2 linked regions of the Rattus norvegicus genome follow. The protein of the gene in region 2 purifies or fractionates together with the protein of the main gene of each other region. This does not show direct contact. Links are inferred from orthologs where the notes say so. Each region holds a gene or a part of one and is shown on either strand. Other genes may lie near its edges.

Region 1 (5,129 bases), on a different chromosome or scaffold from region 2:
ATAGCAAAATGACAAGTATATAAACCCATTCACGTACTTCAACATAATAACCTACTATGTGCTAAGTACCATCTTATAATAATGGCTAGTTTAGTTACACACTACTATGTGTGTGTGTGTGTGTATGTGTTTTAATCACAAATGAGAAATCTACATATGGCCAGGTATAAAGATTTCAATTTATAGGATAATTCATTGCAAGCAATATTATAAAATTCATTACGCGTGTCAGCAATATCCTGCAAAGTTGCTTTCATGAAGATCTTTTGCTGAGTGGGTGCTTTTGCTTTAATCTCTGTGCTCAGAAAACAAACTCAGGGGAATCTCTGAGTTTGAAGCTAGCCTGGTCTACACATCTAAGTCCAGGCTAGCCAGGGCAACAGTGAAACCCTGTCTCAAAAATGATGACAACAACAAACTAAAAATAATGAAAAGAGCCCTATCTTTTATATTAGAAATTAATAGGTAAAGGAACTTTACATGGTTTACTGCTAGGATTTTTCTAACTAAAAAATAAAACCGGTGGGCTGGGGAGATAGCTCAGAAGGTAAGACTATTTCCTGCTCTTAGGAAGGACCCAGGTTCAGTTCTCAGTACCCACACGGTAGCTGACAGTTACCTGTAACTAGCTCTAGGGCATTTGACAAGTTCCCCTTACCTCTGCAGGCTCCCGCACACACGTGTCACAGACACATACATAAAAATGTTTTAAAAAAGTTTAAATAAACCCAACTCCTTTCACTATTAGTACCACATTTTAACACAGTTCCTGACAGTATGTATGGTCATTGTTTCAGATACTCTGGGAGATGGGTACACCTAGGGTAGTATGACAAATATCTCTAAACAGGGAATGAGTATGCTTTATGCACTGCTTTCTTTTTAAGAATTTTTCCTACAGTGAACATGGGCAGCTGAAGCCAAGATTCTTTCTTTTGTTTTTGAGAGTTTTACATGTAACCTGGTACTCACTGTATAGCCCTATATCGCCTCACCCTTGCAATTATGCTACCTTAACCACCCAAGAGGTGGGATTGCAGGCCAAGGCCAAGGCCCATCTTCCATCTCATCCCTTGAGGATAAGAAGAATGGAGGGAAGAACCTACTGATAGACACTATACATCTTGATACACTTGTGTGTGGGGGTGTGGGGTGGAAGTGTATAGCATGTTTTTACTGAAAACCTACATTGAACTGCTAGAAAAAGTCTTATGGCTGACTGGATCCATCATAGTATGAATATAGAAAATCTCAGTAGAAAAGAAAAAAAATCACAGGATTACAGAAACATACCCGTTTAAATTTCCCAGATACTTTGTTCTGAAGTCTGCTACAATTGTTACTGATCTGATAGGAAATACTTTTAATAGTTTTGCCACTTTGAAGAACGGGATGAGATCCTGCCAGTGTGATGACGCATATTCTACAAGGAGAAAAACAGTCAATCCTATGTTGTGGCATGGCGGCCAGAAACCTCCTCCTGTAACAGTATTCCTGCTGAGGGTGACTATCCAACCTGACCGTTGTTCAGTCCAGTTATCTCTGCTGTGATTGGAACATAATACAGAAAAGGAGAGAATAGAGTTGAATCTCCTTCCCAGGAAAGGGAGCAGTACAAGTCTTTAGTAAGCTAGGGTAGCAGAGAAGCATGGCAAGACTGTGGACACAGAACATGACAAATGCCTCCACAAGGAGCCATTCTATAGGTCCAGCAGTACAGTGGTTGGTACAGGTTGGCTAAGCAGTACATGACCCAACAAGACATGTTCTTCCCACCACACTCCTATAATATCATTTCAACACTGTAGAAGACAATTTCATGAATGCTCAAAACCAACCCAAGACCATACCAGACTAACTACCAGAAGGACAGTGTTGATAATTTCTAATTCCTGGTTTGCTTACCGGTTGGAGTGCTGGAGTATACAGTGGTCCTCACAGGGTTTTCCTTTAACATCTAGAGGAATAAATGAGTTGCTGGTTGTTGAATTAGTGTTTACTATTACCATGTGATTACCATAGTTCATTATGAAGCTGATCACAGTGGTCAAAGTAAATAAAGGCTATTAAGTAGTTTAAATGGCTTAATCCAGATAGAATCCTTTATTCAATGTTAAGGCAGGTAAGATTATTAACTTCTCCATCTTCTCACTTTAAGATGAGACCTATTATTTCCATTAGAGAAACACTATTATAAGAATCACGTTGCTTACATTGTGGTGTTGTTTTGTGGGGCTGTCTTGATGTTATAAAAAAATCACATTTTTGGAAAATTCAGTCCTAAAGAGAACTAGGAAGGTTGCTTATCCTAAACGCCGTGTGTGGGCATACCAGTTTCCCTGAATTAAAAAGGCTAAGGTAGAGGCTAGAGGAGGGTCCCCAAAAGTGGTATTGGTATTTTCTGGGCACAAAGAACACCAGCGAAACCTACTTCAAAACGTCCAGTGGACAATATGCACGGCTTCTTCTTTTTTTTTTTTGGTTCTTTTTTTTCAGAGCTGGGGACCGAACCCAGGGCCTTGCGCTTCCTAGGCAAGCGCTCTACCACTGAGCTAAATCCCCAACCCCCACGGCTTCTTCTTAACATTAGATGTTCCTTAACATCTCTTAATGTTCTCTCCACGCCTAAGGTTTCTTCCCGACTGGGCGTAGGATTGATCCTTCCAAGCACACAAACACTTGGCAGTGTGTGGAAGCCCAGATATACTAACGCTGAGTTCCTTAGTTTAGTTCACGTCCTTTCCTGCCAACAACCCGCATATGGCACTGCACTTCCCACGTCGGAAATAGAACCTGTAATCCTGAGACTAGGAAACTCAAGGAAGAGCACAGGTGGCTTACATCGCGTGGCAGAAGTACCTGCGGCATCCACCCTGTGCGGTAGAGCAGAGCTCACCACCATTCCGCACTTACCCGCTTTATACCAGCGAGTGAAGTATCGATCTACAAGGGAGGGTGCTGGGGGTTCGGTAGACATGACTACCTCTGGCGCCACCACCCCGGCTTCGGGGCAGGGGAGCTCTTCCATCCCGCTGGTCCAGGAGAGTACTTCCGGCGCGTGGTAACGTTGTGCACGCGCGCGCCCGCGACTCCCCGGCCCGCAGCCGACCTCCTTCCCAACCCCAGTCACTTGCGCTGCTGGGCCAAAGTCCAACTGTTGGGCAAATACAACTGGGCGTCAAAGGGCTGAGGGACAACAGACAGCAAAGTCCTTCTGTCTCTACCAGGCTAGGACCTCGGATCTACAGAGGCGGTGCATCTGGCCACACCCACCTGGTGACGTCAAGTTAGTGCGTCTCGTGGGTGACACCACGTCTGCGCCGCCTTTCTTGTGCTACCTGGCGGGTTTCGCTCATCGGTGGTTCGTGTCTCTTGTTTCCCGTGTGCTTTGGCGTTTCCCTTCCAAACCCAGTGTACCGTGAGGGTTCGGAGCCGCGCACTGAGGCGAGGGCGCAGTTCCGCTAGGGCGTTGTAGGTGAGCATTCGTCCGTTCCAGTCTGAGCTGCTTTGTGCGGCCTGGTCTTGCGGGCCAGTTCTGCCCTGCTGCAGGGAAGATGCACGCGCCTCTGTCTGCGCGCGCGGGCGGGGCAGCGTGGACAGCCTCTCTCTTCGAATTTCGGATGTTTTGTGTATACTTTTGCTCCGGATCCAACCTGGGGCGCTGCGGGACACAGCTGCGGGGGATGAGGGTCCTGTTCCCCAATTGCTGGTTTCCTTGCAGAATATAGATAAAACCTCTACCAGCTAATTGGTTAGTTCGTTGTGAAGGTGATAGGTAATAGAGGCCTTTGTGCTGTGCTGCGGATCCTTTCTCGCATTTGGGTCATTTCTGTGGAACAGTGTATCTCTTGCTTTCCTAACTGGTTTGCCTAACCCGGGATTTCTGTGATGGCAGTGATTGTGTAGTCTTTTGTTTCTAGGGCCTAACATTTGGCAAGTTTTGATGTAAGTCACATAACGGATCTTAGGTATTGTGTAAAGGATTCGTTTGTATGTTGAGAACCATGATATATAACCAGCGAATACCTCTATGTGTAAGTGAAAGAAAAAGAGGCGTAGGCAAATTTTAGCTTGTGGAAACAGAGATGACAATGAGTCCCAAGCCAGGATAGGCTGTTATTTGATAAGAGATCAGCAGGTTCTCTGTTTTTCAGGTTGCATTTCATGTGCATGTAAGGGTCAGCTTATGATAATATCAGGAGATAGTGAGTGATAGTGAGTTTAATGTTCAGTTTGGACTTGTTCAGTTACAAGGTATATAGGTTTATCTAATCTTCCCTTTAGTGAGCTATCTAAGCCTGAAGGTAGGGGACCACGGGGAGAAAATGGAGCAGTGGTCAGAATTTTAGGACATGATCAAAGTTGTATGAAAGGACTTTTTGGCACATGTGTGGATGGAGAAAAGTTGAATTCATGGAACCCAGGGAGGTGCAGTAGGAGGTGCCAAAGGAAGGCTATTAGCAGATTATGATCCTACAATCATTTGGAAAATACTCTTTTCCTAACTTGAAAGCACTGAGAAAAATACAGGGCTATGTAACTCCAAAAAGTTAAATGAGTGAGGAGTGTTGGAATGACAATTTAGAGAAGTCAGTGTTCATGCTAAAAGAATTGTGGCATTAGAGAGACTAATGAGCTTGCCTTTTATCATGTGCATGAAGTGGCTTCGGAGGCCAGAAGAGGGCATGGGACTCCCTGGAGCTGGAGTTATAGATGTTTGTTAGCTGCTGTGTAGGTGTTGAGAACTGAACTCAGGGCCTCTGGAAGAGCAGCCAGCACTCATAATAAACCTCTGAGCCATCTTTCCAGACCTGACCCGAGCTATTCTTTTAAAAACTCAGATTGCTTTGCTGTGCTTTATCAGTCAGGGTCCAGTCAGAAAAGTAGAGGCCACACAGTATTTCAGCAGGGTTTATTATGAAGAATTATTTAAACTGCTCTAGGAGGAAGGAAAGGAAAAAGTGAAAAGCAAGTAATTTAGAAGGTAAGCTGAAGGAAGCAGTTCCCACGGGAAGGGAGCAACACTAGGGCAGATGTCGGCATCATCAGGCCCTAACACCTCATAGAAAGGCCCTGTAACACTGGGACTCAGACTCTAGAGTGATGCCCAGAAACTCAGGATGAGGCCT
Region 2 (4,363 bases):
CACTGAGGAGGCGGAGTCAGTCTGATCTCTAAGGGTCCAGGACAACCAGAAGTATACAGTGGGACCCACTCTCGACAACAGGAACCTCAGAACAAACAGACCAGGTGGTGGTGGCTCACACCTTTAATCCTAGTGCTCTGGGAAGCAGAGGCTGGTGGGTGTCTGTGAGTTTGAGGCCAGCCTGGTCTACATAGAGAGTTCCAGGACAGCCAGGGATACTCAAATCTTGTCTCAAAAAACAAACAAAAAATAAAACATACAAGCAAAAAACCAAACATACAAACAAAAATAGGTTGTCTGCTCAGTGTGCTCCCTGAGAAACTGACAAGCTGCTGAGAGACAGCAGTCGTCTGGGCCTGCATGTGACTGGCTCCTGTGTGGTAGTGGTGTGCGGTTATAAGCTTGTCCAGAATCCCGGGTTGATGACCATCATTGGCCAGCCATGTCTCTCAGCTGGGTGGCTTGTAACTTCTGATCTGTGGTTCATATCTGAGGGCTCTGGGAAGACGAGCTTGAAGGTTACGTCCTTGAGTTTGACAGTGTATGGAACAAACCAGTGTTGAATGGAGCGGCCTTGCTTCCTACACAGCCGTCTGCCTCCTAAGGAGGGCAGATACACTTGTCTCTCGGTTGCTTTGAACTAGTCCATCCTGTTAGTGTGCCTGCTAATGCTGTAGGTAATAAGTACTGCGTATTGACGCATTCTCCAGGTCCATGAATCAAGGAAGCTTTTCCCTACCACTACATTCACTGCCTTATTTGCTGAATAACGGTTGTTGGGCCAGTTCCCTGTGGTCAAAGCCTTGTGTCTTGGCTTCCTGCAGCCTTCAAGCCTTCAGCCGTCTGCCCTGGGTCTGAGAGCCACCGCAGAGCGGGCCTACCACTTAATGGTCCCTGATAATCCTCGTTCTTCATTTGCTTTTGGCATGACCTTTCCTTTGACATTTCCTTAAGATGTAGAACTAGAGGGGACAAGGCAAGTCACAATTCCGGTTCAGAAAAGTAAGTTTTAAGCGTGTATTCTCTAGTACTACAGACTTCTCCCCCAACTAGTCCTCATCACACACTTCACAAGGTCTGGAGGCTTCCCCCATAAATGGCTTCCAGGTTCCATCTAGGGCTCCATTTGTTTTCTTAGCTTTCAAGTTTGAAACATTTTCTAAAGAGACCTGGTGACATGGCTCAGACATGTGTTGCTAAGCTTGGTGGCCTCGGTCTGGTCCCCAGCTCCTCATGGTAGAAGGAGAGAGCTGACCTGCACTGTCCTCTGACCTCCACGTGAACACCATGGTACATGCCGGTACCATAACGCGTCACACAGACATATCCACATGTAACATAACAGTAAACAGAATAAAGGGTGGGATGTGGAACTGCGCTCCGTCGCAGGAATGTGTGTGCAGGGGGCTCTTACATTTGTCTCCTACCCTGTGTCTACATGTCACATCAGACTTTTCCAGCAGTGGCTTCTCTCTGAGGATGCGGACTGCAAACATCTTTGTCTCTGACATCAAGCACAGTGTGTTGCCATAGCAGACATCCTGAGGGAATGCAGCAGTGCCTTTGTGAGGCAGGACTCTGATGGTCTCCCACATTGGTTCAGCACTGTAGAGGCTGCTCAGGGCAGCCAATGCGTCCCAGCCCCTCTCAGTCCTCAACCCGATCCTCTGCTCCTGTCTCGCTGGTTCCAGTCTGACTGAGTGGTTAATGGGTTCTGGTGTCAGAGTGCTGGATCCACCAGCCTTGCGACCAGATCTGCATTTGTCAATCCTGTCCTGCCTGTCCACCTTCCTTAGAAGGAAGATGGAGAGCACCATGTCTGCAATGGCGGCTGCTGTGGCAGTGACAGCTTCCCTTGATCTGAACCTGTGTGCTTCGTTATGTAGATCTTTAAAACCCATCCCCCTGTTTGACGTTTTCAGTGTTTGGTCTGTGAGGATAAATTCATCTTGGGTTATGCATGGTTTTAGCATGGCTCCATGGTGGGTTTGGTTATGTAACTAATTTGCTATTTAAAGGGTAGATCTTTCTCTCAATTTCTTCCCATAGCGTTTAATTTTAACATGATTGCTCATGTTAGACTTGCTTACTTGAGAGAAAAAAGACAAAGTTTTTGCAGAGAGCCAGTGGCCAGGAAGATGGGCCTTCCTCCTAGCCTTGACTTTCCGTGAGAATGGGGCATAGGTGCTAGCTGAACTCCGGCTCTGGCATCAGAACTGTGTAGCTCTGCCATTGGGTTGTTTGGCCCTGGGAATATTGCCTAAATCTACGGAATTTAATGTTCATTTGTTTAATGCTTCGTGAAGTTATAATAGGAATTAAAGTGATGTGTATAGTTTTACCCCAGCAAGGGGCATAGATTTTTTTATTATTACCATTACTATTTTAGCCAAGATTGAGATTAGAGATGGGGTGGACCTCACCCCTTGAGGTCACCTCCTGTGGATTGCTGGGATGATTTCTACCACAGGTTGGAACAAAGAATTGCAGAGCTGCTGGGTCTCATCTTTTTCTCTTACAGGTTTTAATTTCTCATCCTCTGGACGAGAAGATGTAGATGTGAGAACTTTAGGAAATGGTAAGATGGCGTTCTAACCTGGTTAGAACCTGCCTGCTACTATAGCCGCTCAGAACCAAGGGAGGGCCAGGATCCTGCAGATGGGGAGCCCTGTGCAGTATGCAGCTGCCTTTGCAGACTATGGGCTTTGTCTGAAACGACAGTCATTTCCTTGGAGGCTTTCTTACCGGAAGCCTGCAGGCTGTGATGACTGTATGTGCCTTAAGAAGGAAATCTTTCCCTCAAAGTTTATTAGTTATTCCATTTAAGAGCTTCTCAGGCACACACTTTTAATCCCAGCACTTGGGACTTGGGAGGCAGAAGCAGGCAGATGTAGTTTGAGGACAGTCAGGGCTACCTAGAGAAGTCATGTCTTAGAGTGTGTGTGTGTGTGTGTGTGTGTGTGTGTGTGTGTGTGTGTGTGTGTGCGTGCGTGCACACGCGCATGAGAGACAGAGACTGACTAACTCAGGGTTGGGCATGGTGATGTACTGGTGAGACAGGGCAGGTAAATCTCTTGAGTTCTAGGTCAGTCTGGCCTACATAGTGAGTTCCAGTACTGCCACAGCTATACAGATAGAACCTGTCTCAGAAGCAAACAAAGACTCTCTCTCTCTCTCTCTCTCCCTCTCCCTCTCCACCCATCCACACTTAGAAGAGTGGCTGGGAGAATGGACCTCACCTTGGTGTCTCTGGGCAGTGCTCTCTGGACAATGTTAGTTCCATCAGTGTATCCACCTTAGTCAGTGGCTACTGAAGTTTTGTTTTGTAGTTGGCACAAGCCTGTGTGAGGACCTCTGGGGACGCAGTCCTTTTCACTGCCTGCATGGGGTTGAGCAGCCTCCTTGCTCCAGGGCCCAGACGCCCCATCACTCATGTGTCCTTCAGTCCCCCAGATGTAGGGCACCACATTGCTCTAACCTCTCAGTCCTCTGGAACTCAGCCTGTTTCTCACACCTCCTGCATTTGCCCAAATGGTAACTCTGTGAACGCGGTTTTGTTTCCCGCCGGCGTGCCTGCTAGGAAGGCCCTTTGCGGTTGAGCTGCTGAATCCTCATCGAGTGCACTTCACTTCACAAGAAATTAAGGAGCTGCAGCAGGTGAGGGCTGCATGGCCATGCCAGGCCTGTGTTTGTCAGCTCTGTGCCTGAGCGGGACTGAGCCGGTAACTGTTCTTTCTCTACTGCAGAAAATTAATAAATCATCTGACAAAATCCAAGTCCGTGACTTGCAGCTTGTCACCAGGTAAGAATGGATGTGTTAGAGTGAGTTCAAAAGGAAACTTTCCAAAGATCATGTATGTGAAAGGGAATTACATACAGAGTCTATTAAGGAAAACAAAAGTCTGACAACCCAATTAAATGGGAAAGAGATTAAGCAGACCTTTCTCAAAGGAGGATGTATGTGTAGTCAGTAAACATGAAACAATGCCTACCATCTTGCACTAGGGCTGTGCAAATCAGCCACACCCAGGAGAATGGCTGTTACCAAAAACAGAAAAATATCAATTGCTGGCAAGGACATAGAGGAATGCCTTGTGTGTTGTTAATGGGGTTGAAAGTGGGACCACTTGGGGTTGGGGATTTAGCTCAGTGGTAGACCACTTGCCTAGCAAGCGCAAGGCCCTGGGTTTGGTTCCCAGCTCCGAAAAAAAGAATTAAAAAAAAAAAAAAAAGAAAGAAAGTGCGACCACTTTGACAGTCTCTCGTAAGCTCAAACATACAATGACCGTATGACCTAGATGTTCCACTTCTAGATATCACATCAACAATAGAAATGAAAGTATATATCAAAGACCACACTCAG

The links. Proteins that work in one complex are often made in the same cells at the same time.
Region 1: the proteins of Pus10 (region 2) and Abitram purify together in Homo sapiens (affinity purification with mass spectrometry; 3 studies listed by BioGRID and IntAct, counting the BioPlex papers as one, with this or other methods). This does not show direct contact. The link is inferred for Rattus norvegicus from reciprocal best matches to the Homo sapiens genes PUS10 and ABITRAM.

The regions. Positions count from the first base shown.
Region 1 is NC_086023.1:76,299,171-76,304,299, reverse strand, and holds the start of Abitram (protein Abitram), read right to left. Parts: upstream 3,247-5,129; 5' UTR 3,029-3,246; coding exon 2,914-3,028; intron 1,958-2,913; coding exon 1,906-1,957; intron 1,424-1,905; coding exon 1,294-1,423; intron 1-1,293. UniProt on the Homo sapiens protein: Actin-binding protein that regulates actin polymerization, filopodia dynamics and increases the branching of proximal dendrites of developing neurons.
Region 2 is NC_086032.1:101,863,713-101,868,075, forward strand, and holds part of Pus10 (tRNA pseudouridine synthase Pus10), read left to right. Parts: intron 1-824; coding exon of another isoform or gene 825-898; exon of another isoform or gene 899-2,515; intron 2,516-2,521; coding exon 2,522-2,578; intron 2,579-3,580; coding exon 3,581-3,657; intron 3,658-3,746; coding exon 3,747-3,802; intron 3,803-4,363. UniProt on the Homo sapiens protein: Protein with different functions depending on its subcellular location: involved in miRNA processing in the nucleus and acts as a tRNA pseudouridylate synthase in the cytoplasm.